Linked DNA regions of Canis lupus familiaris. The protein of the gene in region 2 interacts with the protein of the main gene of each other region in a biochemical or structural test. Links are inferred from orthologs where the notes say so. Each region holds a gene or a part of one and is shown on either strand. Other genes may lie near its edges. The genes, in order: FLOT1 and SORBS1.

Region 1 (14,796 bases), on a different chromosome or scaffold from region 2:
GGAGGGTGCCAGAGATCGAGTGAGCATGTTTTTTCCCTAACTTGGTTCTGAGTCACACAGGCACCTACCCTTCCCAGAAAACCACTCCAGGGCTCACCCCCTGGCAGCCAGTCAAGCCTAGTGCTAACACGCGATACTACCAGGCAGGCCAGCAGCTGGAGATGGGCCAGCAGCTGGAGACAGGCTGGTCAGGAACACTCATCCCGCCCCCAGAGGCCTCTTCCAACCTTCAAAGAAAAGGCAGTACTGTTGGAAGTAGAAGGAAGGCTTAGTTTAACTTTTGAGAACCCATGGGAGACATTGCTGAATCATGGGGTTATAGAGGAGGGAAAGACATCAAAGAGCCTTTAATCTAAGCACTTGACTTTACAGATCAACTCATCCAGTAAATGCAGGGTGTCTGAAAAGGCAGGACAAAGGGGGAAATACTTTATTTGTTTCACTTGCTCCTCCCCTACCGTCCATATTATGCTTTGAGTTAAATCACAATCATACCCTCTAATACTGATGTAGGAGCGTTCTACAGTGAGATACAAGCTGCTTCCCACATGAACAGCTCTGTAACATTAATGAATTAAAGGGCCCTACATTTCTAGCCTTTTCAAGTAGCCTGTAGTGATGGATAAGCACAGTTTTAGGCACTGAATATAGAGCAGTGAACAAGACCGATAAAATCCTGCTCTCATGGAGTTATTATCTGGTAGGAAACTGAGAGGCCAAAGGGAGGAGCTACAAAACCAGGCCCTGGGAAGCCTGTGTTGGCAAAACAGGCACATCGCATCCTTTCCCAGCTTCCCATCTCTCCCAGCAGCCTCCAGGGAATTCTGGTTGAGTTGGGCTGAGCTAGGACGGGCCAAACTACATCCTGGGGCAGGGGATACTGTTTTCTTGTGACCTTGCGTTGGTGCTCCAGGCACTCTTGCCTTCCTTTTGCATCAGGGGAAACTGCCAGGGACTGATCTTGACCCTCCTAAGGTCCTAATGGGTGTCTTTGATGGTTATTCATTAACTTGCTGCCAAGAACTCACCACCCCACCCTACCCTACATGCCTCTGGCAAGAATTGTTCCAGCTAGAATGTGTGTGCATTCTAGGGAAGGGTGTTTAAAATCAGTCACTTTGGCTCAACAAGAACTAGGAATGCAGAAGTCTCTGCTTCTTTGGAGAAAAGCAAAAGCCACAAAACCTGCCTGAGTTGGAGAGGGAAGGAAGGAGGGATGAAAACAGAAAGAGAAAGTCTATCTCCTGATGATCTTAGCACTTGAAGGCTATTTGTCATCCTGGTCACCTACTCCTGGGTTAGCTCACTGCTGCCCATTTCATCTCCAAAGGAGCCCCTCTTCGTATAATCATAATAATGGCCCTCACGGAAGTGCCTAGGAGCAGTCCCCTTGGTATCCTTAATCTTCACAATAACCTTAAAGCCAATATGCCCACTTTTCAATAGAGGAGACATTTTCAGAGACGAAGTAGCTGGCCCAGTATCACGTAGTTAATAGTAGCAGAGCTAGAATTTTTTTTTTTAATTTTTATTTATTTATGATAGTCACACAGAGAGAGAGAGAGAGAGGCAGAGACACAGGCAGAGGGAGAAGCAGGCTCCATGCACTGGGAGCCCGATGTGGGATTCGATCCCGGGTCTCCAGGATTGCGCCCTGGGCCAAAGGCAGGCACCAAACCGCTGCGCCACCCAGGGATCCCCAGAGCTGGAATTTAAAGCCAGTTTCCTCTAACACCACCAGATCCTAACATGCTTTTTTTGTTACACCATGCCTCCTTTCTATCACAAATCCATCTCAAGTCAACAAAGTTACTGAGTATCTACCAAATGCCGGGTATAGCTGAGGTTTTAGTTTCCATTTCTTGAGCACCCTGACTCCAGACCTCTGTTTCCCCTTTTCAAATGTTCTCACTTCCAAATATCTGTCTTGTTCCCATTACCCTCATCCCCCATTCTAGACTTTGGTCTGCAATGTAGCAGTTATCTAGGTGGGCCATCAGGCATGATTCACTCCTTTGCCAAGGAGTGAGGGCCAGTGCTTTGCCATCCATCACCTGCACAGTTATTCTCAATTTAATGGCAGATCCTTCTGTGCCATGGTTGAGCATCCCGCATCCCATCTTTGAAGAGGAAGCATTTGAACCCGGGAGGGGGCCTCTGAAAGGACACAGCTGGGTAAACAGACACTTCCAAGGCTGAGGGGTAGCTCCTCAGAGGGGATGTTTCTAAGGATACACATTAATCCCCTACTAGGTGAAAGGCCAAGTACTGGAGATACTACCAAGATATCATGAGAAAAAGAGTGGATGTGGTCCTGTTTATTTATGGAGATTATATTCCAGTGGGGGGACACAAAACAACAACATACATAAAAATACATAAAATGATGCCCCATTGTAGCAAGAGTTCTAAGAACATGAACAAGGGGCTAAGAAGGACGTTGGTGGGAGGTCAAGATCACAGGTCAAATGAAGGAAAGGAAGGAGCATTGGCAATCTTGGGGAAGATGGAGAGGAAATGAGGAACAGTGAGAGCAGTGAAATGGAAAGGGGCCAAAGGCCTGTCTCCCCAGGATTAGGGCAGTGAGAACTGGTCCAGCTGCTGGTCTCAGCCCTGGTCCTTCCTGGCCTTAACTCATCCTCCAGCTCTACCCTCCCCCCCCCACAACCTTTCATTGGCTTAATGATTCACTCTCAACTTTTCCCTAGCTTCCTGCATGGCAAGGAGGGGGTAATGCAGAGCCTTGGCTCTCTGAGGGTAGCAGGAACAGGGATGACATTGGTTGAGAAGGAATGATGAGCAGTCTAAGATTTCTGGTTCTTCTCTGTCCCATTCTGGTCTTGCCACAAAGAAAGGTCTCTCTGTGCCAGGAGGACAGTGAAGATAACTAGGCCCAGCTGGAGGCCCTGATTCTAGATGTGGGAGGTAGTGGTGAAATAAGATCCTGACATCCCACTTCATTTCCCCTCCCCTGCCAAGTGCCCTAGAGAAATTTTCCATCATAAACAAGTTATGCATTCCTGACCTTGGGTGCCCCCCCAAGCCATCTTCTCCCATCATCACCATCTCCCTCACCCCTGATTTATATCTGTGTGAGCCTGTATGTGGGCCATCAGTACATGTAAGTAGTTCATGTATTCATGCTAATCATTGTGTAGTGTACAGCTTGCCCTGGAATAAGGGTGTAAGTAGGTGCAGGCTCACTGCTTGGGTGTAAAAACAATGATGGCAGGTGTGGAAGGCACGTATAGGGAAGGGACATGTCTCTGTGGAGGTGTGTTTTATGCTGGTCAGGAAGAAGTGTGGTAACACATGAGTTTAGACAGTAGTAATAGGTGTAAAATCAAGCGACATAGAGGCCCAGGAAGCGATTGTATATACAGCAATAATGTATCAATTGAAGCCCAATCGTGGGAATGTCCCTGTTTGCATCCCACACATCCTTGGTTGAGAAATGCCATTAGGTGTTCCTTGTTTGATGTGTGTGTAAGAATTGTCACAGCTGTTCTTAATATACTGTAAATTAAATTTTAAAAAGATACTGTAAATTTGTATGTGGGGTTTGAAAGAGTATATCCATGTCTCAAAGCTTGAGGTGACACAGCCAGGGGGTGAATACTATATGTGTGTGTATAGTTCTGTATTTTCAGCCTTCGTTTAACAAGACTGTGGAGCAACTACTGCATGTAAGGCAGTGTGCTGGGCTTTATGGAGGGCACAGACACATGTGTGACACAGCCTGTGGTGGAAGAGATCATATGTGTACTCTGTGTACACCAGACATAATACGATCTGGAGTAAAGACCTGAGCCAGATGCATTTCAAATCCCTGGAGTCAGCCTTGATGCCTTCATGCTCTCACAGTCAGCACCCCAAACTCTCCATGCTCTCTGATTCTTTTTTTTAAGATTTTATTTATTTATTTATTTATGTATGTATGTATGTATGTATGTATTTTATTTATTTATGAGAGAGAGAGAGAGAGGCAGAAACACAGTCAGAGGGAGAAGCAGGCTCCATGCAGGAAGCCCGACGTGGGACTAAATTCCAGGTCTCCAGAATCACGCCCTGGACTGAAGGCGGCACTAAACTGCTGAGCCACCCAGGCTGCCCCATGCTCCCTGATTCTAATGATTCCCATCTCATTACTAAATCCCTGTGGTCTTAGGCTAGGAAAGTTGCTTCCTGCCACTCCTCCTCTTGGCTCCCTCTGCCATGGCCCATCTCCAGCCCTTGTTACCATCCACCTGAACATTTCCAGTAGCCTCTGATCCCCTATTACAGTGTCTCCCCATGCAGGGCATACTTGTCATCCGATTTAGTTCCCAGCTTGAACTGCCTTCCTTTTATAATCTCTCATGATCCACGGAATCCAGGATCTAGTCTGGCCTCGCAGCTCAGCTCTCCACACTCTGCCCTCCTTTCCAGAATCATTACTTCCCACTACTCCTTTACAGGAAACTTACTGTAAGATTGTTTTTCTAGCAATTCCCCAAACACATCCTGTACTTTTCCAGTGCAGGGCTTTTGCTGATCCCATTCTCTTCCTCACAGTCATCTTCCACATCTGATTTTGTGGTATCCCACCCACTGTTCAAAGTCATCTCAAATGCCACTCTTCCATGAACCCTCGCCTTATTGACTAGACAGACATGAACATTCGTTGTTTTGGGTCCCTCCTCCTTTGCACTTAGTGTTCAGTTGTCTTAAGACCCTCCAGAGAGGGACGCCTGGGGTGTCTCTGGTTAAGCACGTCTGCCTTCAGCCCAGGGCGTGATCCTGGAGAACCAGGATCGAGTCCTGCATCGGGCTCCCTGCACGGAGCCTGCTTCTGTCTCTGCCTCTCTCTTTCTGTGTCTCTCATGAATAAATAAATAAAATCTTTTTTTTTTTTTTTTTAAAGACCTTCCAGAGAGTTCTCCGGGTCCGGGGTCCGGGTCCCCTCTGCATGCATACGGTGAGCCGCCTGCTGAATCTGGCTTGCCCTACTCACCAGCCCATACACTGAAACCAACCTCAGTACTTTCAAACCAACCTCAGTACTTTCAACAGGACCTTTAACGGGGTGCCTGGCTCCAGTAAAGGATGTTAAACTGTGTCCATGAGGAGCTGTCTCTAAGGCAGTTATGAAAATATGCAATTCTCTCTTAGTACTACTACCACACTTAAATAACATCTCACAGTTTAAAATGTTCTTTTCATATAAATTGTGTTAAAAAATAACAAGGGACAAATCTGATGGCAAGGGACAAATCTGGGTGGTTGCTTACCTCTTGCCTTTGTTTTGTAGCACCTTCCCTACGTGAGCATTTCTGCATACATCTATGTGGGTAGTAGCTCTGTTGTGTTGCCCCTGTGAAGTCTCTGCCCCTTTGCTCTGTGTATGTGTGTGCCCGCACGCACATGTGTTATGTGCATGTTAAAGGGGAACAGACCAGGCCACCCCAAAATGTGCTGACGGCAATCAACACCCAGCACACAAGAAGAGCTTTTTACCTCTCTCCCTTAACTGCCTAAAAGAATTTAGATAGGGGGCAGCCCCGGTGGCACAGTGGTTTAGCCTGGGGTGTGATCCTGGAGACCTGGGATCCAGTCCTACATCGGGCTTCCTGCTTCTCCCTCTGCCTGTGTCTCTCCCTCTCTCTTCACTCTCTCTGAATGAATGAATAAATAAATCTTAAAAAAACAATAATAATAATTTAGATAGGCACCTGAACCATGAAGACAGCTATTACCACAGATAACTTTTTATCAGGACAGAACAAACATCTGCCTCGGAGCATCTTCTCTTATCTTCCTGTGAATTGCCCTCCTCCCCTTTGAAGCCCCAGGCTCCTGTTCCATTCCTTAGCTCAAGATAGCATGTAACCCCAATTGCCTTATTGCCTTTGAATCTCATGGCTTCCCAGGCTCCCGAAGTATGTAATTAAACCTGCTTTTCTCCTGTTACTCTATCTTGTATCAATTTAATTATTAGACCAGCCAAAGAAGCTAGAAGGAAAGAAGGGACGTTCTTTTTGCCCCTACAACATGTGTGCTGAGGTCAGCAGCATGGTGTCTGCGTGTACTAATGTGTTCATTTCTCTGTCTTCTTGGCTATTTCTGTAACTACTTTCCTCTTGAGGTGTGTGTGTGTGTGTGTGTTTTCTGTGTGTACCTACAAGTGTATAAATGTGCGTGTGTAACTGTAATTCCTTGACTTTGCTGGGTGACTATCGTCCCAGCGTGGCCAGATTGGTCAGTCCTCCTGCCTCCCCAGAGATGGGGCCGGTGGCCCAGCCATCTCCTAAGCTATCCGGTGGTCCCTGCCTAGTTGCCACATGCCCTGACATGTGCCTGCAGCCCGGGATCTCACCCACCCCACTCCCAACCCCCACACTCCCAACACACACACACTTGGGCGCCTAGGGGTGCACAGACCAAGTCTCCACCCCCTCTCTTTGCTTAACCGTCGGAATTTCCAGCTTGCTCTGGCCATCCCTCCCGGCGGCGGGAGGAGCCGAGGAGGACCCGCCCAGGTCTGAGGCGCCCTTAATTCGCTCGGCACCGGCGCGGGTCCGCATCCGGCCTTCCGCTCCGCTCGCCGCGCGATGTGTCGCTCCCGCAGCTCCCTCCCCACCATGACCGTCCCGCGGGCTCCGACCTCCGTCTCGTCCACCAGCCCCGGGCCCCGGCGGGGCTCCGGTCCCGAGATCTTCACCTTCGATCCTCTCCCGGAGCCTGCGGTGGCCCCTGCCGCGCGCCCCGGCGCGTCCCGCGGGCATCGGAAGCGCAGCCGTAGGGTCCTCTACCCGCGAGTGGTGGGTACCGCGGGAGCCGGCGGCGGGCGGGGGCGGCCGACGCGGGGTCCCGCCAACCTGTCCCCTTGCTTGTCTCCCAGGTCCGGCGCCCGCTCCCGGCCGAGGATCCGAACCCGGCCAAAAGGCTCCTGTTCCTCCTGCTCGCCGTCATCTTCTGCCAGATTCTGCTGGCCGAGGAGGGTGTGCCGGCGCCCCTGGCCCGGGGGGACGTCCCCAGCGGCGCACCCCCTGCGCCCTCCCCGGCGCCCCCGGTCCTCGAGCCCCTCAACCTGACCTCTGCGCCCTCGGACTACGCTCTGGACCTTAGCACTTTCCTACAGCAACACCCGGCCGCCTTCTAACGCGAGCTCCCCACCTCCCCCCGAAAGAACCGGAAAACCCAAATAGACACCAGGTGTACCTGGTGCGCGAGAGCGTATCCCAAACTGGGACTTGCGAGGCAACTTGAGCGGAGAGCACGTCAGCAGAGACGCCAGCCCGCGCCGGAGACGAGCCGAGCACCGGCCCTCCGGGGCCAGGCCCGGTGCGGAAGAGCGTCATTAATTTATTTCTCACTGATCCTAATTAATATTTATATGTATTTATGAATGTCCCCCTAGGTGATGGAGGGGTGTCTGTAATATTTATTTTAACTTATGCAGGGGAGCGCGATGTGCCCCCGTGCTGTAAGCGCAGAACTCTCGGTATTTGCTGAGCTTCGTGGGAGAGGTGGAGGCGGGCGCGCAGGGCTGAAGCGCACCCGGAGGGCCGGGGAGCGCCCAGGCGGAGTCGAGGACGCCGCTGGCACGTGGGCTTAGGGGCTGGTGTTCGTCCTCCGGGGTTTCGGCCCCTTGGATCTGCCGTGTGAGGCTTCGGCGGACCACTGGGGTGAGGTCCTTGGCCTTCGGTCTTCTCAAAGTTGCCCCCAGTGGGTGGCTGGGGTGTCGGAGGTCGGCGGGCGGCCAGGGGGCGGCTGCGCGGCCGTCCAGTATGTTCCGTGAACACCAATAAAGTCGACTTCTTGTCCGTAGTCCTCCGAGTGTATTTTGCAAGCGGCGACTCCCCACTAGTCCCCGCCTCCCGGCGCCAGCGGCGAGCGGGAGGGGCGGGGGCCGCGTCCCCAGCAGGCGCTGCGCCCCGGGCGGCCGGGTGCAGCCGGGGGCGGCCTCCCAGGCCCCGCGGGGCAAACCCGAAATGAGGCAACCTCCGGGCCCGCGGAGGTCACGTCCCGCGTCCCGGGGCGGAGCTCCCGGCTGGGGGAGGGCGGCGGGACCGGGGCGGGCGCGGCCTGCCGGGAAGGGGGCGGGGCGGAGGGCGGCCGCCGGGGGAGGGGCGCGGGCGCGGGCCTGCGGCTGCCGCAGGGTGGGGCCGGGAGGGGCGCGGGCGCCTTCCGCGCTGGCTGGAGGCCGTTCCCCGCCGTTCCCCGCCGTTCCCCGGCCGCTGCTCGCCCCGGCCTGCGTGCGGGGAGGCGGGTGGGGCGCCGAGAGGTAATCGGGCTGCGGAGGGCCAGGGAGGGCGGCGCACGGGCTGGGGCCTCTAGGCGCAGGAGCGCTTTACCCGAGGATCGAGAAACCGTCCTCCCCGAAAGCAGGAAGTGGCCGTGAGCCGGCGGGGGAGAGCCCTGGCGATCGGTGGGACTTCACCGGGAAATGCCTTAGTGGACCCATGGGTTCGGAAGGGACCGGGCCCTGGTGGCTGCGGATGGGGCTAGACTGACGGAAAGAGAATTTGCTCTCCCCCAGACCCCGCCCGCAAAGGCTTTCTCTCCCTTTTCCTCCAGCTTCAGCCTGAGCCATGTTTTTCACCTGTGGCCCAAATGAGGCCATGGTGGTCTCTGGTAAGTAATGCTCTCTTCCCAGCCAGTGCCCCCAAGCCCTGTGGTCCGGCCTCTGCCCCGTACCCTTCTCCCCACCAGCTCCCAGGTCCAGGCCTTCTGTCCACACACCACCCTCCCGCGACCTCCCCATGGCTGCAAGCCACCCCACTTGTGATTCCCAGCGCTACCTAACAAGGCCTGGACTGCCTCCTCTTCGACTCCCAGATTTCCCTTTTGGGATCAACCCCCACCCCACGTTTTCAGTCTTCCGTTTTCTAGCCCTACTCCTGCCACTGCAGTCTGCTACCCCCTCACCTTGCAGGTTTCTGCCGAAGCCCCCCAGTCATGGTGGCCGGAGGACGTGTCTTTGTCCTGCCCTGCATCCAGCAAATCCAGAGGTAGGTAGAAAAGAACCAGGAAGGGGAACCCCAGTTTTCTCTCTTTCCTGTTTTCCTCACTGTCCACTCCTTCTTTTTCCCGTAGGATCTCTCTCAACACACTGACCCTCAATGTCAAGAGTGAAAAGGTTTACACTCGCCATGGGGTCCCCATCTCAGTCACTGGCATTGCCCAGGTGAGGCTTTCAGAGCCTTTTCCCCCAAAGTCCATTCCTTCATCCCCTTCTTTGTCCCCAGACATTAAGAATCTTCTGACCATGGCCTCCCCAACCTCTGGCCACAAAGAAATTTCTCTGCTAAGTTTCACCTTCTCCAGGGACTCCCAAGGCACTTAACTCTTCCATTCTCTTCCTGCTTGCTACTTGGCTTCAGGAGGCCTTCACCACACTTTCCCTATCCCTGCTCTGGTTACAGGTGAAAATCCAGGGGCAGAACAAGGAGATGTTGGCAGCTGCCTGCCAGATGTTCCTGGGGAAAACGGAGGCTGAGATTGCCCACATTGCACTGGAGACTCTGGAGGGCCACCAGAGGGCTATCATGGCCCACATGACTGTGGAGGTGGGCTTGAGGGCAGGGAAAGATCTGGGAGAGATGCCCTGAAGAACCCAGCTAGTCTGTGGGAAACAGTAGCCAGAAGACTGAGAGCCTCAGTTCCTCCTTCCTACCATTCTGTTACCCTAGGAAATCTATAAGGACAGGCAGAAGTTCTCAGAGCAAGTTTTCAAGGTGGCCTCCTCAGACCTGGTCAACATGGGCATCAGTGTGGTTAGCTACACCCTGAAGGACATTCATGATGATCAGGTAAACTTAGGTGGGGCTGATCCTCTCCAGTTCCCTGCTCCTATCTCTTAAGCCCTCCTGAGGATTCTGATTGCTGCTTCTCTTCCTCAGGACTATTTGCACTCCTTAGGGAAAGCTAGAACAGCTCAAGTCCAAAAAGATGCTCGCATTGGGGAAGCAGAAGCCAAAAGAGACGCTGGGATCCGGGTGAGCTGGATCCCATTTGAGGGCTCACTTGGTCACCATGGGCTTCTTGGGCATGCAGTGGGAGAGGGGATGGAAGGGGCACGACTGAGTGAGGACTCAGAGAGCGGGGTTGGCAGAGGAAAGAGATGAGGCCATGGGCAGGGGAGCCTGGTGAGGAGCTGGCTCTCTGCCTTGGGGCCTTCCTCTCCCTACTCTAACTTCCTCCCTGATCTCTGTGTGGACAGGAAGCCAAAGCTAAGCAAGAAAAGGTGTCTGCTCAGTACCTGAGTGAGATTGAGATGGCCAAGGCGCAGAGAGACTATGAGCTAAAGAAGGCTGCATATGACATCGAGGTCAACACCCGCCGAGCCCAGGCTGACCTGGCCTATCAGCTTCAGGTCAGACCTCTCACACTGGGCAGTTATTTCCTCTCAAGCCCTCCATTTTAGCCCTCCACACTTTCCCAGGTTCTAACTCTAATCCCTTTATTCTGGCTCTACATTTCTGACCCAACTTCTCCATATGAGGAAGATTTGAAAGACCTAAGCATTTCGGTTGAAAAGCAGAGGCCAAGAAGGGACATGGTCAGTAGGATGGGATCGTATGTTTGGGCAGACTGGGCAAGGGCCCCTGGATGAGGGGGAAAGCAGAGCTAAGGTCTAGCTGGTGCTCTGTTCACCATGCTCTGCATTCCGGCATAGGTGAATGGTGCCGCATCCACCTAGGGGAAGGGGCACCTTTTTCTGATTTCCCATGAGCTCACAGCAGCCATTTGGGGACTTGGAAATGGGGACTTGGGCTTTGAACCCTGCAAAGTAAGATATGGGCAGCCCTTGATATTGCGAGGAGGCATGGACAGTCCTCATTGTTTACAGATTCTGTATTTGAGAATTTGCCTGCTCACTAAAATTTACTGGTAACCCCAGAAACAGTACTTGTGGCACCTTTGTGATCATTTGTGGACATGCACAGAGCATTGAAAAATCTGAGTTGCCTGATGTGCAGTTGAAGGTGAACGAGATGTTCTGCCTTCGTGTTGCAGTTCTCGTAGTGTAAACAGTGTCAGTACTGTAAACACTGTCATTTTCACCGTATAGTGACTGCTACATTTTTTTGCATTTTTGTACTTTGTTGGTGATTTTGCTGTTTAAAATGACCCCCAAGCATCCCGCTAAAGCATTAAGTGTTCCTAAGTGCAAAGAGGCTGTGATATGCCTTATAAAGAAATTACATGCTTCTTTCAGGCATGGGTTACAGTACTGTTGGCAATGACTTCATTGTTAATGAATTAACCATGTATGTTGCATAAGGTATCTTTAATCAGAAACACATATAAAGCAAGGACATAATACTGATCTGTTGACGAAATGTTGTGAACAGGGGCACATAGGAACCTAACCGTATATTTTCCCTAACAACAGAATAAGTGTTTGTTAGTGCAGTATTTGTGGCTACTTTATGGAGCAGATCCACCATGAATAATGAGAATCAACGATACATTAAGACTTTTACCCAAAGGATAGCAATAGCGTGAGATTTGTTTTTGCCAAGAGTTGGTATAGGCTGAAAGGATAATGAAGTACAAAGCATCTCTAGTTATGATGTTAAATTCCTGGTGGTTTGACAGGTCATTGAGTGTGGCATAGCACTTTTTCCTCAATGTGGTCTGCCTTCCAACAGCATCAGCATCATTGTGGAGCTTGTTAGATACAAAATCTGAAGCTCCAGTTATACTAACTTAATCAGAGTCTGCATTTTTTTTTTTAAAGTAGGCTCCACACCCAACATGGGGGTTGAATGCATGACCCTAAGATCAAGAGTTGCGTGCTCTACCGACTGAGCCAGCCAGGTGCCCTTAGAATCTGTATTTTAACAAAATCTCTAGGGGATTCATGTACACATTGGAGTTTGAGAAGCATTAACATAGCAGAAATTAGCTTGTGTGGTCCTTAACCTAAATATGGCTTTCCTCCTCTGCAAATTAAAGGATTGGGCTGGTTTTGGCTCTGTTCCAGTTATACCAGTTCTTTATTTTGTGCCAGACTTTGTGCTGGTTGCTTGGGAAATAAGGACTCATTCAACAAATAGCTATTAAGTGCTTACTATGTACCAGGCATTGTTTTATTTTTATTTTTTTATAATTTATTTTTTATTGTGTTCAATTTGCCAACATACAAAATAACACCCAGTGCTCATCCCGTCAAGTGCCCCCCTCAGTGCCCGTCACCCATTCAGGCATTGTTTTAGAAGTGAGGATATAAGCATGAATGAAACAGAAAAGATGGGCAGCCCTGGTGGCGCAGCGGTTTGGCGCCGCCTGCAGCCTAGGGTGTGATCCTGGAGACCCAGGATCGAGTCCCACATTGGGCTCCCTGCATGGAGCCTGCTTCTCCCTCTGCCTGTGTCTCTGCCTCTCTCTCTCTGTGTCTATGAATAAATAAATAAAATCTTAAAAAAAAAAAAAGAAAGAAGCAGAAAAGATTCCTGCCCTCATGGAGCTTACATTTTAACACAGGAAATAACTAATAAAGCAAGTAAATAACTTTCATAGGTTCTAATTATCTTGTGTAAGTGCTGTGAAGGAAATATAGAGAGTGATGCAAAAAACAGTGGAGAGATACTATATTAGGTTGGGGCTGATCTAAGAAAGCTTCAGTGAGGAAGTGATTTATGAGATAAACTGGAAGATGAGAAGGAGCCAGCAATGTAGAGTTGTGGGCCAATAGCATTCTAGGCCATTGCTGTTCAAATAGAATTTTCTGTGATGATGGAAATGCTGTAAATTTGTGCATTGATGTTGAGTGCTTGAAATGTGGCTTGTGGAACTGTGGCTAGTGAAATGTGAGGAACAGAATTTTAAATTTTACTTATTTTAATTAATTTTAAATATAAATAGCCATATGTGGCTAGACAGAGGACCACCGTCTGCAAAGGCCCTGAGATACGAAAGAGGTTGATGTATCCCAAGAACAGAGAGGAGGATTCTGATCTGGTGGGGCTGGTATGCTGTGAGTGAGATGGCAAGGCAGGCAGGGCCAGGTCATAGGGTTCAAGTGCCCCTGTTGGAGACTTAGAAGGGAATTCAGAACCCAGTGGAAAGCTATTGGAGAACTTTAAGCAGGGAGGTGCCATGGTCTAATTTACATTTTTACGAGGATCAGTCTGACTGTTGTGTGGAGAATTGATGGTCAGAAGACAAGAGAGGATGCAGGAAGATAAGTTGGAAGCTTTTTCAAAGATGATGGATTAAATAAATACAGTTCATTGCACTCCCTCTCTAAAACCTCACTGAAACCACAGAGTGATTTTCAGAAAAGAGGAAGAAGGCGAAAACAGATGGAGAGAATAGCATCAGGATGAACAGAAAGCATGGTATCATTTTGGAAGCCAGAAAGCCATTGTAATCGACGAAGCCAGTAATCGATAAGGCCATAATCATTTTATCAGTGACGGGCACAATGTGACCATTGAATGCTAAATGCTGACAGTCTCCCCTAACTCCTTTACCCCATTTGGGCCCAAGACCCTCCATCTTCCAAAGAAGTCATCAGAAGACTGTGCTGGGGAACACAACCAATCCAAAGATCCTGAATCATAGGTTCTTCAGCAGATGACTTGTCCAGATCACCCTAGAATGAAGCCTCACCCACATGCTGGGTTTCAGTGTTTTAGACCTCCTTCACTGTGAGCAGGCCATCGAAGATTACCTGATATATGAGGGAATACTGCAATGTTAAAGTCCGAGACTGGAACCACAAACAGCAAAGCAATTTGGAGGTTATGCAGGGAGAAGAAAGCTTAAAATTTTTTTAAATGTCCTCAGTGACAGAAGAATTCACATCCAGAAAATCAGAGCATAAAACAGAAAACAAAAAAAGAGTTCTTAGAAATCAGTAAGATGACAGAAATGAGAGGGGCAAATCATATTGAAAGAAATTATAATGAATCTACAGATTTACTCATCTAATTCTAATAAATTCCGATTTTGGGATCCCTGGGTGGCGCAGCGGTTTGGCGCCTGCCTTTGGCCCAGGGCACGATCCTGGAGACCCGGGATCGAGTCCCACGTCGGGCTCCTGGTGCATGGAGCCTGCTTCTCCCTCTGCCTGTGTCTCTGCCTCTCTCTCCCTCTCTCTGTGTGACTATCATAAATAAATAAAAATTAAAAAAAATAAAAAATAAAATAAAAAAATAAATTCCGACTTTAATAAATTTATTAATCCTAGTCTACAGATTATTAATCATAAAGTATGAACAGAACAAAGAAAATGGTAGGAAAATCAATGGAAAAAATTTTTTTAATGTTTGTTCTGAAAGGTATGACTTTCTAGATTGATACTTTCTACATTGGACTGTTTCAATGCACAATACAATGAATGAAAAACAACTACACTATGAAATTTCAGAACATGGAGAACAGAGAAAGGATATAAAAGCTTCCAGAGAGAGAGAACAGATTGCACAGGGCCAAGCATCAAAATGACTTCAGATTTCTCAAGAAGCTAGAAGACCATGGAGCAGTGCCTTCAAAAATGCTGATAGAAAATGAATTCTAACCTGTACTCAATCTCATTGTCATTCAAGTAGAAAGGTAGAATAACAATCTCAGAAAAGCAAGATCTCAAAAAATGTATTGCCCATATACTTCTTCCAAGGAAGCTCCTGGGGGTTATTTCATCAAAAAGGATGCCTAAACAAAGGCAGGAGGGGCTCCAATATAGAGAGAGATCCTGCACACTGGGGTAGAGAGCAAGTAGCTCAGTTTGGAACTGGTTTGCAAATTTAGGGTCAAAGACAGCACAGGGTGCCATATCCAGAAGCACCTTTCCTCTGGGTG
Region 2 (14,984 bases):
TGGGAGGAAAGAAAGACAAAGCAGAAAACAGCAGAAAAACACCAAAAACAAAAACAAAAACCTAACCTAAGTGAACTTACTGCACCCATGAAACAAGAACAAGATACTATTAAAAAAAAAAAAAAAGTGAGCTTCAAACTAGGGAGTTCTAGAAAGTAAACATGTAAGCATGTTTCATGCAAAACCATGAAAACATAAATTTGAAAATTCAAAAGGGCTAAGAATGAAGCTGAAGAGGTCTCTCAAAAAGTAAAACAAAAATAAAATGAAAAACAAGAAATAAATGACTTTAAAATTATAAACTGGGGGAGCCTGGCTGGCTCAGTTGGTAGAGCATGTAATGCTCATCTTAGGGTTCTAAGTTCAAGCCCCATGTTGAGTGTAGAGATAACTTTAAAAATATATATTTAAGGGACGCCTGGGTGGCTCAGCAGTTGAGTGCTTGCCTTCGGCCCAGGACATGATCCTGGAGGCCAGGGATCCAGTCCCGCATCGGGCTCCCTGCCTGGAGCCTGCTTCTCCTTCTGCCTGTGTCTCTGCCTCTCTCTCTCTGGGTCTCTCATGAATAAATAAATAAAATCTTTAAAAAATAATAAAATAAGAGCAGAAGAGGGAGAAAGAAGTGAGGCAGAGGAAGATGAGAGACTATGTGAGAAGTCAGAGTGATGCAATGGGATGGAATTCAACAAGCCTTTGGCAGCTCTGATGGCAGAGGAAGGGGGCCAGGAGCCAGGGAATGCAAGCAGTCTCTAGAAGCTAGAAGATGCAAACATGGAAAAAGACTCTTCCGAGAAGGGAATACAGCCCTGCTACCACCTTCATTTTAGTCCAGTGAGAACCTTTTCTGACTTCTAACCTACATAACCAAAATATGAATGTATTTTGCTTCAAGCCACTATGCTGGTGGTAATTTGTTACTGCAGCAATAGAAAATCTCATTCAGTGACTGACTCTGGGGAGTAATCCCTGGAATGAGAAGGGGTGACACAGCGTTTCTTTATAAGCCTTGCAGTGTTACTTGACTTTTAAAAGTATAGACACACGCATATATATACTTATGTGTGTGTGTGTATATATATATAAATACACTTTTAAGAGTATATATCCACACGCATATATAGACATATATATATAAATAAAGACTTTGATGTAAATTAAAATTGAATTTAAAAAGACATAAAACACAGATTCTATCTTGCCAGGTCTCACAATCTGGTAGAAAAGAGAGACAGGGAACCAGCTACTGGTGAACATAGAAAGAAAAGCACCTCTTTCATATGTGAGGAGGGTCTGAAAGGAGAAGGAGGAGTCACCCAAGCAAAGCAGAAAAAGGCCTGGTGGTGAGGGAACAAGCCCTGGTGGGAGGGAGAACCTAGTCTTTAGGGACGTGGATGAGGTCTTAGCGACTGGGATATTCAGTGGTTCTGGAAGAGCTGGCGGCAGTGGGCAGCTCTCCACACCACCAGGTCTGATGCCTGCCCCACTGCTGGCTTCTCCAGCTGGGGTTTGGGACCTGCTGTGCATAATTAAAGTGGACATGGACAACTGAAAGCCCAATATAAACACAACATTTTCCTGGATCATCACTTGTACTCAATAGTAACGCACATATTTTTTTTAAGATTTATTCATTTGAGGGCAGCCCGGGTGGCTCAGTGGTTTAGCACCGCCTAAGGCCGGATCCTGGAGACCTGGGATCGAGTCCCACATCGGGCTCCCTGCATGGAGCCTGCTTCTCCCTCTGCCTGTGTCTCTGCCTCTCTCTCTCCCTCTCTGTGTGTCTGTCATGAATAAATAAATAAAATCTTTAAAAAAAAAAAGATTTATTCATTTGAGAGAGAGAGAGAGCACTAGCAAGGAGAGGGGCAGAAGGAGAGGGAGAAGCAGACTCCCCACTAAGTGGGTGGCTGGAATGGGGCTCCATCCCAGGACCTCAAGATCACAGCCTGAGCCGAAGTCAATGCTTAACTGAAAGAGCCACCCAGGCACCCCAACAGTAAAGCATTTCAAATACCTTTATACTAAACCCAGCACTGACATATTATAGAGTAGAATACAAAACTCATGTGAATTTTTAACATATTAACTAGAGATTTCAAGGTGACTACTTGCTTGCAAGGCCAGCTGTAGATGCTAAACTACCTGCTGACTACTGAGCACCAAGACTCAATCTTCTCTGTAATTAATCTGAGTCAGAAGAAAATTTTAAAGCACTACAACATGCATGCATCCATCAAAGCACCTGGGACTTCACACCTGCAACCTGTGGGTGGATACCTACCCTCCTTGTGCCTAACCTGGGTCCCAACCGAAATGAATCAGAAAGTTGAGAAACACCTCATTCTTTTCCAAAGCGATCTGGATCTTTACACTGACAGTTGGGTTAGCCCAGTTTAGGAAAACAAAGAAAAACCATCACAATGAATTCTTAAATGTACCCTCTTGGTCCTAAGCCAACCCCCCTCTTGGACTCTAAGCATTACGAGAATGCAGACAAGAGCCCCAGCTTCACCATCAGCACCGCGAACTTTTACAGTACAGCCTTCTATTGGAGAATACATCGCAGACACTCTTTCCATGGAAGGAAGTCAAGAAATAGGGCACATCTCTTGGGAGAGGGTGTCCCTTGTGTCCACAATACAGGGGTGGAAACTTTTTCTATTGTTGTAACTGTTTTTGTTATAAAAACAATAATATCCACATGACAGTGAGCTGGGAAATTTCTTTTTCTTTTTCTTTTTTTTTTTTTTTTTTGGAAATTTCTTTTTCTATAAAGAGCTATTACCAACCCCAGAAGAAAAGGGGCCGGGGGGGGTGGGGAGCAGAATCAATGGAGGGCCACACATAAAGAAGTAAAAAGCAATTTAATTGGGTTAGGGTTGTTTGTTTTGTGTGTGAAACACATAACCACACATCGAAAGAGAGTGAACTCAACTGACTGTAAATTAAGAACAGAGAAGATTAAATTTTAATAACAGTAAATACATTAAAATACATTACAAAAAAATACATTACAAAGCTCTATTATTGAAAGTAAAGAAAGAAGGTGGGGAGGAAGGTAAGAAGAAAGAGAAGAGCAGGAGAGAGAAAGAAATGTAGAGAGGAGGAAGCCATGGGAAAGCAAGAATGGGAAGACGGGAGATACACAGACACGCATGCCTCTCCATGTACAAAAAGAGGGAACAACTCAAGGAATCCACAGACACTTCCGAGGCATGAAAAAAACATCCAGCCAAAGGAAACTACATCATACAGGCCAGCTGTTGGCTTGGGCTATAGACTTCAAAGTATTAGCACCTTTCATCCTTGCCTTTGAATGGTTACTGATCAGGTTAACCACTGTTCACAGCTCCTTAATTGCTCATTGAAACATTCCCAGGCTTTAGCTCTGTCCCAGGCCTGAAGCTCCCCGCAGGTGAGCTACAGCTCAGTGAATCAGCCACCTCCTGAATCAGCTACCTCCAAGCCTGCCCTTTGAAGAGAGGATGGGAAGCAGGGTCCCATAAAACATGCAAAATACCGATGACAGAGGAGAAAACACTGCTTGAGTTGAAAATAAATACCACAGAGAACTTTCTTTCATGTTGCATTTACAAAACAAAACAAAACAAAACAAAACAAAACAAAAAAAAACCTGGGACTTCAGCATAACTGGGTCTCACCTCAGCATTCTCCTGCATCACCAGCAGCACACCTGACTTCCCGCATGTTCAGGTTCCATGTACCCCAGTGGCTCCAAAGGCCTCAGCTCAGCTGACCCTAAAACAAAGCAGCCTCTCCCACACTCAGCGGTTGGAGGGTCAACGGGAGAGGTCTTAAGGAGACCCCACATCAGCCCCAGCCCCGACAGGCCTCTCGGTCCACCCACTCCATCCTCTAAGTCAAGCCTCTCCTCTCTTCCTTCACTCCAAGAGCTGGCGAAACCTGATTTCACCGCTGGCAGAGCCCCATTTCAGCTCCATCCCTCCCTCCTCCAAGTTTGGAGGCTGTGTTTTCCCCTTCTCCACCTGACCTGCCTCCAATCTCTCCCTTCCTCAGCCCCATTTCCTCCTCACTTTCTCTATCCCATTTTAGAATCTCATCAGAGGAGGAGGGAATAAGAACTACATCTAGAACACAGGACCTAGAAACTCCCCGCCTGGCCTCCTGCCCCAGCTGTGCATCTTGCTACCTGTGTGACTTTGGACAAATCACCAAACTTCCCCAATCCCTCAAATTCCTCAGTGGGGGGGAGGGGAATGTGAAACCTGGCAATCAGGGTTTTCTTCCAAGGCTCATACTCTAAATCCCTGAACATTCACCTGTATAATCATAAATAAAGAAGGGAGTTAAACATACACAGGAAGACAGAATGGATTCTAGAGGCTCTTTTTCCTTAGCATCCTGCCAATTCAAGTCTCCCCAGCCCACCGCACCTCAGAAGGTCTGTGCCTCCCACTCCAGGCCATTCTGGCTCTGAATTATGGACGTACAGTAAATCCTCATAAATCATACTAATCAAAGAAAAGGTACGTCTGAAGCCACCAGAAGCCCGAGTCCTGGAATACTTCTTTCATGCCATTGAGCAGTACTACGAATTTAACATCGTTTAACAAACAAAACAATCTTAAAATGCTCTTACAAACTGGACTTGTGAATCCAAGAACAGTAACGCTGTCAGGAACCCTCCAGAGCCTTCCACCTTTTTTCCAACAAGCACACAGACCAGAGAGTAGAAGCCACTATCCCAAAGCAGGTTGGTGGCCCTGGCTCAAAGCCAGCTGTCCTATCTTTGGTCCAGAGCTCCTCCACCAAAGTTTTTTGGGACCATCCATTTCCTTTTACAGACAGATTAAATCCCAAATGACTAGTGAGTGCCCTATACAGCAAATCTATTTCCATGTCCAGAGAAGGGTCCAGAGCTAAGTTTGGATGACCAGACCAATGTGGCCTAATAAAAGCCTTCTTTCCTGAACCCTGCCTATTCATGCTCTGCAAAGAAAACCCCAGACTCCACTATCTATATGGAACCCTATTTTAAGGAGGCTGAACAGTTCTTTGTTCTGCCAGTAAGAAGCATCTGCTCATCCCTTCCCAGAACTCCAACCTCACTACCTCCCCCCTCCCCCATTATTCCCAATCCCTTAAAAAAAGTTCACAGAAACTCTCCAACTACCATGAAAGAGAACAGGTAAAAGACAGGGCCAACAGGGGGTAGGGTCGAAGGGAAAATGACAATACCCTCCATATCTTTGCCCTATAGGGTAGAAAGCATTTCTTTTCAGTTGTATACTCCATGAGGGGAAGTCACCAGAGACAACTCAACTCTGGGCCCTCCAGCTGAGAAATGAGCTCTCCACGACCCCAGAACTACCCCCTTTGCTAACCGTCCACTCTAAAGTGCCCAGAGCAAAAGTGCCAACAGACCCACCCTTCTCTGCCATCCCCTCAGGCCAAGAGCCTGAGACAGCAGAGCCTGGCTGGCAAGGAGCTATTTAAGGCAGCATCAAGAGGGTGGGGCAGAAAATTGCTGGCAGCATCCTCTTCCTCCACCCCTCCCTCAAGCTCGCTCGCTCACACACACACACACACACACACACACACACCTCTCAGTGGGTAGACAGCCATCTATCTCACCTGTGTCTCTAAGGGCTGTAGATCTGGAGTCTCCAAATGTCCAGCATGTGCTTTTTGTCATTGAGGCTGCTGTCCCCATCTGCTGCCCACCCCACTTTTAAACCATCCCCTTCTCTTCAATCACCACCAAGCTGCCTTTCCAATCAAAATAAATAAATAAATAAACTGAATCTAAATAGAGGAACTTGAAAACCAAGGAGAGTGGAGACAGACAAGCCATCCCTGGCCTTCACTTATGAGAGGAAAAAGGATGCGAAGGTTTGGGGGGGGGGGGGTGATGTCAGAGGCCTGACTGCCAGATAGGTTCCATGATATCTCTAAATGAACCTCCCTCCTATTGGCAGTGAAATCAATTCTGGCAATTTCAGCAGGTCGGCCCTGTGACAACAGGAGCATCCCAGCGCTCATTTTAAAACAAAAATCCAAAGGTTCAACCAGAACATGCTGGGCAAACCCAAGGTCTGGATAAAAGAAGCCACACTCAGTGGGATCCCTTCTGCTTTTATGTAGCAATGTAATAGCGTAATAAATTCTGTCTGCCCAAAGGAAGCATGCGCTGGTGAATTTCAAAGCCATCTTACAGCAGCGGATACAGGGGAGATGCAGGATTCGACAGTACATTCCCCCATGGAAGGTACACAATGACTTCAAGCCTCATCCCCCAATCTTGAATGGCGCTACCGCTCATCAAGGAAGCCACATCGGAAAGCAGCCAGGTGGGCGCCAGGGATGGCCCGGGAATTCGGGGAAAGGAGTTGCTTTTCCGTCCCTGTCGGTGGCGAGCTGCCTAGCAAGATGCCCGTCACTCCGGGGGACGAAGCGGCTCGGGCGGATGGCACCGAGTCCCCGGACCCACACACCCCCGCTCCTTCAGGCGGGTCGTAGGCCAGACGGATCGTCCTGGCGCACCTCCTGCCGCCCTCCGGTCCGGGGGATGCCGATGAATGAACACACCTGGACGCCTCCATCCTGCCGCTCGCTCCCGGCTTCTTCCTCTGGCTGCTGCAGAGGAGCCCCTCCTCGGTAGTTTCACTTTACAGCGCAGACCTACCCGGGCTTGGATGTCTCCTCCACCCACCCATACTGCAGCCAGCCTGAAGCAGGCGGACGTTGTCTCCTAGCAGTGGCCATGATCGTACGAACCCCCACCCACCGAAAATAAAACAAAACCTGAATCCCGGGGACCCCCCCCCCGCACCCTGGGGAACTTTCCTGGAGAGACAGGGGGTCCACCGCGTAGGAAGGAAGGTCCGGCCGAGGGGGAACCACGGCTCTCCCCGTGACCGCGGAGGATGCTCTGGCGGAGGGCGTCCCCCAAGTCCTTCCAACAGCTGGCCCTTTAAACGCGCCTCCTCCGAGCTCCGAGCTCCGAGCTCCGAGCGCGGAACAAAGGCGCCGCCCGCGGGGGCCGGGCCGCCGCACGCCCCCCGCGCCGTGGCCGCCGATCGGGCGAGCGCGGGCGGGCGAGCGGGCGGCTGGCGCGGGCTTACCTTGCGGGTCTCCGGGCGGGCGGGCGGCGCGCGTCCTGCCCCACTCGCACTACACGCCGCAGCTGGCCCCGCGCTGTTTTTCTGGGACTCGGCGCTGACTTCACCGACACTCCGCGGCCGGCCAATGGGCTGCGGCGGCCGCCCCCTCATTAGCATGCGTCTGGAACCCTCCACTCCGGCGGCGCCCGGGCGGGGGGCGGGGCCGGGCCGGGGGCGGGGCCGGGGGCGGGGCCGGGGGCGGGGCCGGGCCGGCCGTGACAGGAAGGGGCGTGTGCGCCAGTGGGAGGCGGGGAAGCGCCCGGCCGCCCGGCCCCGCGGCGTCGTGAGCGGAGGGCGCGGGCCCGCGGATGCTCGGTGACTCTTCCTGTCCTGGCCGGCGGTCGGCGAGCCCCGAGGCTGGCCCCGCGAGCCCTCTGCCCCTCCGAGGGCTCCGCCGCGGACAGCTGGGAGGGAACCCGGGGCATAAAGACAAAAGCCAACCTGTCTTGAGCGCATGTGCTACTGAACCCCTGTGCCCAGTTTGCTCATCTGTAAAATGGTCTAACAGTAGGATGCAGTGAGGATGAACACGCTTAACCTGCGTCAAGCATTTAGATAGTGCCTGGCCGTAGATGTTTGCTACTGTCATAATTATACTCTGTACCAGTGTCCTTGATGCTTCCTGGATGTTTTCTCATTTGGTCATCAGAGCTTCATCACAAAGGCACTGTCACTAATCTATTTTCTTTTCTTTTTTTTTTTTTTAAGATTTCTTACGTATTTATTCATGAGAGACACAGAGAGACAGGCAGAGACATAGGCAGAGGGAGACGCAGGCCCCGTGCAGGGAGCCTGTTGCGGGACTCGATCCCGGGGCTCCGGGATAACCACTCGAGCCAAAGGCAGATGCTCAACCACTGAGACACCCAGACACACACACCCCCATTTTCAAGTGGAAAAACCGTTGAGGTTTATATGGCTTGCTCAAGATTACAGAGAAAGCAACGCAATTGGGATTTGAACCCAGGCGCGGAGATTTCATTCAGGCAACACACGTTTAGGGACTCCATGACAGGCATGTGATAGGCCCTGGGGTTACAGCAAAAATCAGTGAAGTTTCCCTTCATGAGGCTTCCATTTTAGTAAGGGAGACAGGCAAGTGAAAAAATAAAATCACTACAGTGTGAAACTGAGTGAATAGAATAAGAGAAGGTAATATGCAAGGAAGAGAAGCGTCCTTTGTTAGGTTGAATTCAGAGCTAACTGCTGGACACCCTGACCTCCTCCGATACCCGCTCAGTGTTACAGAAAAGGAATCAGAGAGGGGAAGTTGCTTGCCCAAGGTCTCAGGGCCGCAAGCAGCCACGCCTAGCTTCTAGCATCCCTGAGACATCCCCCAAGATAGAGCAGTCATCCCTTGGGCTGAACAAAACTGACTTTTGTCAGCTGCCATTGACAAGAATCTTCAGCCAAAGCACATTCCCAGTTAACAAGCTGTATGTGGGGAGGTAAAGACAGGCCTTAATGACTGCATGGGCTGATAGGAAACACATCTGCTAAGGTTCTTAGATGTCAAGGAACGGTGACAAGTTTTTGCTGAGCATCGGCTGTCCTCTTCTGTGTAAAGAAAAAAAAGTTAGAACACTCATAGCCACCTGGGAGCTTATTGTACAGCTGAGGAGACAAGACGCCACCAGGAAACCACTCAGTCTAGGGAGCTCCCAGCCCATGTCTCCTTCCACTTTCACCTTGTCCTGCTGCTTTGCAAAGAAGACTAGATCAGGAATCAGGCTTCCCAGGCTCCACGATTGGCTTACTCCACCATCCAGACAAGGCAGTTCCTTCTGGGCCTGTAAAGTAATAACATGACTTTTAATCAAGCACATCTAGTCTGCTAGGCACTATTCTATACTTGCACTGAGAGCTTTACATGCATTAGTTCACACCACACAGCAACCCTGGGGATGGAGTCCAATTGTTATCCTGAGGTTATCCACGGAAGAGGAAAATAATAGGTAGAGAAACTAAATAAGTTGCCTAGCTCACAAATTCAGGGCAACGCCATTCAGAATAGAAAAAAAAAAATCAAAGCAATTCAAATGTCCAGTTTTAGTTGCATATGAATATGTATTCAGTACAACCATATGACAGATTACCACACAGCCATGAAAAATGACCCTGACCCGTAAAGGTGTACCAAATACCTTATTGGACAGGAAAGTAGATTGAAAGCTAGTTTAGTACTGCAATCCCATTAGAGTTCTATGGGATTGCAAGTAATTATTTTTTGCTCATCTCTGTTTTTTCATCATAAACATCTATCAAATTGTTTAATTAAAATAAAACAAAATAATTATAAAATGCAAAACTGGACTGTACCTCTGGAAATTCTCTATATAGACAAGGCCATCGCTATAAGTGGGAAAGTGCCTTGAGGAATCTTAAGTGAAGTCTAAGTCTTTGAGTCATCCCTCAGATATCAAACTCTGCTGGTTCCAGCCTGTATGTTTTCAGATAAATGGAAAAATACTGGAAGGACAGGAGGAAGAGAAGAACAGAAAACAGAGAGAAAGAAAAATCCTACTATCTTTCAAGGCTCATTTCAAATGTCTCCTCCAAAAAAGTATTCAGAGTCACGGTCTAATAACATCTTAACACTGAAAGTCACCCAAGAAATCAGCAGGCATAATTGTGTCAATTAATTCTTGTCTCCAGTCATTCACTGACTCATCTGAGTCTCGGGCCCTGTGCTGCTGGGCTGGTGAGACCCAACTCCCTACCTCCCAAAGGTAACCCCTGAGGAAGCAGCGGCAGGGAAGGCCAGCTCCGTGGGTGTCCGCCCTGTGCTGAGAAGGGTCCCGCTCTTGGTTTATAACCATCTTGAAATGCCTCATGTCAAGTGAGGGGCCTCACATTTTTATTTTGTACTGTGTCTTGTAAATTCTGGGGCCTGTCCTGGGAAGGAGAAACACCAAGCCGTTCTCAGTGTATCAGTAACCAAGCCTGGAGCTCAGGGCTTTCCATTCTCGTCCCATCTCTCTCTCTCTTTTTTTAAAGATTTTGTTTATTCATTCATGAGAGACACAGAGAGAGAGAGAGGCAGAGACACAGGCAGAGGGAGAAGCAGGCTCCCCACAGGGAACCCGATGTGGGACTTGATCCCAGGACTCCAGGATCACACCCTGAAGCAAAGGCAGATGCTCAACCGCTGGACCACCCAGGCACCCCATCTCATCCCATATCTTAATATCACATGCTCATTCCTGGTTCCCAGGGAAAGTGAGCATTCTTGCCTTCCAGTCCTACAGTCCTTCACTTATTCCTTCCTCATGGAATTTACCATATTTGGCATGAACTCACGTACATATGTGTATAGTCCTATTCTTCATCCTCTCTACCTACCAGATTGTAAATTCCATGAGGTCCTGGCTTGTGTCTGCTCATCTCCAACAGTGCTTAGCACTGTGCTTTACATACTGTTAAAAATGTGTTTAAACTTAATTTAATCTTATTAGTAACTCCTCGTTTTCTCTTCATGTGCATCAGATTATTCCCAGCAGTCCTTCCGCTGCTGGAGAGAAATAACAGTATCAGGCAGGAGAGTTGAGCACACAAACTGGCATCATAAACATGCTGTAGGAAGCATCCCCCAAGCAGGCCGTAACTGTGAGGAATTAGGGGAAGAGAGAGAATTTTGCAGAGGAAATGCCAGAGTTGTCAGCCTTTCCTCCATCTTTAGGGTCACACAGACTGCAGGAGAGGGAAGTAAACAAGACGATCTAGAGATGGCAGTGAGCATGGTGGTTAAGCCTGTGGACGGAATCCTGGTTCCAACACCTAATATGGAATCTCATGTAAGCTCTTGGGTCCCTCGTCTGCAACGTGAGGAATACACAACCCTCCAAGGTTTACTTGTGAGCTGTAGATGAAAGCATGCATATAAAGTGCTTATACACTGCCTGACGCATAAGCACTCGGTAAGTGGATATTATTACTAATATTACTAGGAGGCCAAGTCATGAGAGATGCTTTCCTAAAATGTGTTGGCTTTGTTAACTTGTTTCCCCAGTTACCCAAAAGCTGAACCATAATCACTTTCAGAAATATCAGCTGGAGAAAGCCAGGATGGGGGAGAAGAAAATAGGCTAAGAGAAAGGGAATTATGTATCAAAGAGTTTAGCTGATATATCACTAAAGCTCTGGTGACCATTTGTACCTAGTTTCTTTTGTAACATCTTGAAGAAAGCGAAGCAAGTAGTGGAAAGAGCAAAACTTTCTTAAAGAACAGATTCTTGGGATACCTGTGTGGCTCAGTGGTTGAGCGTCTGCCTTTGGCTCAGGTCGTGATACTGGGGTCCTGGGATCGAGTCCCACATCAGGAGGGAGGGAGCCTGCTTCTCCTTCTGCCTGTGTTTCTGCCTCTCTCTGTGTGTCTCTCATGAATAAATAAATAAAATATTTGAGAAAGAAAAGAAAAGAAAAAAGAAAGAAAGAGAAAGAAAGAAAGAGAGAAAGAAAGAAAGAAAGAAGAAAGAAAGAAAGAAAGAAAGAAAGAAAGAAAGAAAGAAAGAAAGAAAGAAAGAAAGAAAGAAAGAAAGATTCTCTTATTTCTTGCTGGTTAATTACTGAGAAAAAGTGAGTTTTCACTCTCATGCCTAAGGGCACAGAACTGACTTGAAGATAGGGGAAGGCCATACCCAAGAATTCCACATTCTTTGGAGGTCAGGACTGGCAGATACTGCCTTAGGGAAGTTTGATGAAATGGGTGGAGGTTGGTCAGAAGTCTATGGGACCAGAAATGAGAGGAGCCATGGTGATGACTTAGAAAGCAGCACTGAGATGAGCATGAACCAGTAACCCCAAGAGTCTAGTGACAGACTTCCATTTATCAATCTAAAAACACTTGCTCTGGGGCACCTGGGTGGCTCATTAGGTTGAACATCCATGCAACTCTTGGTTTCAGCTCAGGTTGTGAGATGGAGCTCCACACTCAGCAGGTAGTCTACTTGAAGATTCCCTCTGCCCCTCTCCCTCCATAAATAAATAAATCTTTAAAAAATATAGAAGATAAAAATACTTGCTCCAGCATATCTTGTGTTGTTTCTTGGATGAAAACATGTGTACGGGGACACCTGGGTGGCTCAGCGGTTTAGCGTCTGCCTTCAGCCCAGGGCATGATCCTGGAGTCCCAGGATCAAGTCCCACATCAGGCTCCCTGCATGGAGCCTGCTTCTCCTTAAAAAAAAAAAAAAAAGTGTACGGAATAGAATAGAATTCTAATTCAATGCAATTGTATTTGACCAAGTACATATGGTTTGGTTTTGAGAATTTTTTTCTGCAATTAGTCAAAATAAGACATTTAAAATGTCAAACAATTGACCTGGGTGGACCTTTGAGAGAAATCAGAAGTACAGAAACACATGTCTGTCCACTGTCACTGAATTAATGGGAGGGCCTGACTAGGTCAGGAGTTTTGGAGGAGAAGAAGAGGGGCCATCTGACTGGGCAAGGGATTCATTGATTAGAATATGCTGGGTTTACTTTAGAAGTTCTACTACTCTGAAGTAATTTAGGCAATGAAGTATTTCCTTGAGGAAAGCACTTTTAAGGTTGGTGGATCCAGCTGCCAACTCTGAGACAGGCATTCTGACTGAAGCTGGAGAAACAGAGGAAGCCAAGAAGGAGGAACAAGGAGGGAGGAGGAAAAAGAGGGTGGTTCAAGGAGAGCAAGAGAAAGTAAGAGCGATGGCAAGTAAGACGAAGAGAGATCATTGAATGTCCTGAGGCCAAAAAAAAAAAAAAATACACAATTTCAGAAACAGGGCAACTAGCCTCACTAAACTGCTATAACCTTAACAAGGTTAAAAAATCAACAACAATGGTGTTAAGGGAATAACTGACATTCTGGAAGCTGTTGGAAGCTTGTCAGAGGTGATTGGAAGAGTTCACTGAAGGAACTCATTACATAGGGCCAAATTGAGTCACATAGATGCCCTGGGAAGGTTAATAACTCTTTGTCAGCATTTATCAAGGGGAGATGCCAAGTGCTGTGTGGGGAAAGGGCAGGAGGAAAGATGGCGGGTGTGCCCACCAGGTAACAGCCCCTTCTCCATGACCTCAGCAAATCTCTTCTGTCCCCAAACTTGTTTGCCCTGTCTCCTAAACCTGGGTCACCTCAACCCACTTTTGTGAATAGCAGTTTAGTGACCACCTCTAGTCATCGTGCCATTCCCTTAGGGATCTTACCATCTGTTTCTCCATCAGGCAGAACCAAGCGATTCACCCAGGCATACAACAGCTCTTTGTGACAAGAAGTCTCAGAAAGTCATCTATTTCCAGGGATATCTGGAGCCCTCTTCAAACTGGCTATCTCAGCGGTGCTTATGTGGCCTACCTGCTTATCTGGCCCTGTAAGAAGGAGATAATCTGAAAGAATTGTGTTCTACAGCCAAGGGATTGAAGGTAACTGTACTTTATACAAGAGAGAAGTGGACAGATAAAACGATCTCCTCCCTTAGGCGGAAAGAACCAAGGACTCCTTCATTTGACCCTGATTAGAAGTAGAGCAGAACCAGAAAGCATGCTAAAATGAGGTTCCCAAAATCTGTTACAACCCAAGCTGCCACCTTCAAAGAAGGAAGTTATTATTCCTGGTGAACCCTCCAATAAGAAGATAGTAAGGACCCCTGGGAGGTCAGTGCCAGCCCCATTATTGAACTCAGTGACCCTAAGACAAGGCTCAATGGAGTTAAACAATGTGATACCACCAGTTGGTATTCAGACTGCTGGGATAAGCTGCTCCACTCTTTGGTTCCAGAGTATTCTATATTTGGATGAGAGCTTCTAACCCCCAGGTGATTCCTTGAGAGTGGGGAGCTGAGCCATCAGGTAGCCCTGGCATTGTGGGAAGAGGACTCTCAAATAATTCAGTTAACCAATATCATGTGCCTACTGTGTTCCAGTCCCTCTACTCAGTGCTGAAAAACCAGAGAATAATCCTCAAGATGCTACAAGCTACTGGGAGAGACCAATAAATACACAGGCAATTACTAGACAGTGTTCTAGAAAATTTTTAAATTAAAAAAAATTTACAAGACAGTATTCTAGAAAATTTTTTAAAAATTGAGATGGACTCCATGTAGCAGAGCATTTATCTTTTTAAAGTATATGATCCAGGGCAGCCCAAGTGGCTCAGCGGTTTGGTGCCACCTTCAGTCCAGGGCGTGATCCTGGAGACCCGGGATCAAAGTCCCATGTCGGGCTTCCTGCATGGAGCCTGCTTCTCCCTCTGCCTGTGTCTCTGCCTCTCTCTCTCTTTGCCTCTCATGAGTAAATAAATAAAATCTTTAAAAATAAAAAAATAAAGTATATGATCCAGTGGTGGTTTTTTTTTAGCATATTCATAAGGTTATACAACCATTACCATAATCAAATCCCAGAACATTTTTATCACCACAAGGAGAAACCCTATACCTACCAGCAATCATCCCCCTACTGCCCAGGCCATCCCCATTTCCCTCTCCCCTCAGTCCCTGGCAACCACTAATCTGCTTTCTATCTCTATAGATTTGCCTGTCGCAGACATCTCATACACATGGAATCATAGAATATATGGCCTTTTGTGTCTGGCTCCTTTCACTTAGCATCATGTTTTTGTTTTTGTTTTTTTTTAAGATTTTGTTTATTTATTCATGAGAGACACAGAGAGAGGCAGAAATATAGGCAGAGGGAGAAGGAGGCTCCCCACAGGGAGCCTGATACAGAACTCAATTCCAGGACCCTGGGATCACGCCCTGAGCCGAAGGCAGACGATCAACCACTGAGCCACCCAGGGGCCCCTAGTTATCATATTTTCACGGTTCATCCTTACTATAGCCGGTATCAGCACTTTGTTGCTTT

The links.
Region 1: the proteins of SORBS1 (region 2) and FLOT1 form a complex in vitro, tested with the Homo sapiens proteins (2 studies listed by BioGRID). The link is inferred for Canis lupus familiaris from reciprocal best matches to the Homo sapiens genes SORBS1 and FLOT1.

The regions. Positions count from the first base shown.
Region 1 is NC_049233.1:660,509-675,304, reverse strand, and holds the start of FLOT1 (flotillin-1), read left to right. Parts: upstream 1-8,126; 5' UTR 8,127-8,266; intron 8,267-8,288; exon of another isoform or gene 8,289-8,410; intron 8,411-8,559; 5' UTR 8,560-8,573; coding exon 8,574-8,616; intron 8,617-8,917; coding exon 8,918-8,993; intron 8,994-9,078; coding exon 9,079-9,169; intron 9,170-9,407; coding exon 9,408-9,551; intron 9,552-9,674; coding exon 9,675-9,794; intron 9,795-9,884; coding exon 9,885-9,980; intron 9,981-10,204; coding exon 10,205-10,357; intron 10,358-14,796. Other genes in the region: IER3 (radiation-inducible immediate-early gene IEX-1), read left to right, coding at 6,591-6,800, 6,881-7,141. UniProt on the Homo sapiens protein: May act as a scaffolding protein within caveolar membranes, functionally participating in formation of caveolae or caveolae-like vesicles.
Region 2 is NC_049249.1:9,237,934-9,252,917, forward strand, and holds the start of SORBS1 (sorbin and SH3 domain-containing protein 1), read right to left. Parts: upstream 7,251-14,984; 5' UTR 7,107-7,250; intron 3,887-7,106; exon of another isoform or gene 3,663-3,886; intron 1-3,662. UniProt on the Homo sapiens protein: Plays a role in tyrosine phosphorylation of CBL by linking CBL to the insulin receptor. Required for insulin-stimulated glucose transport. Involved in formation of actin stress fibers and focal adhesions.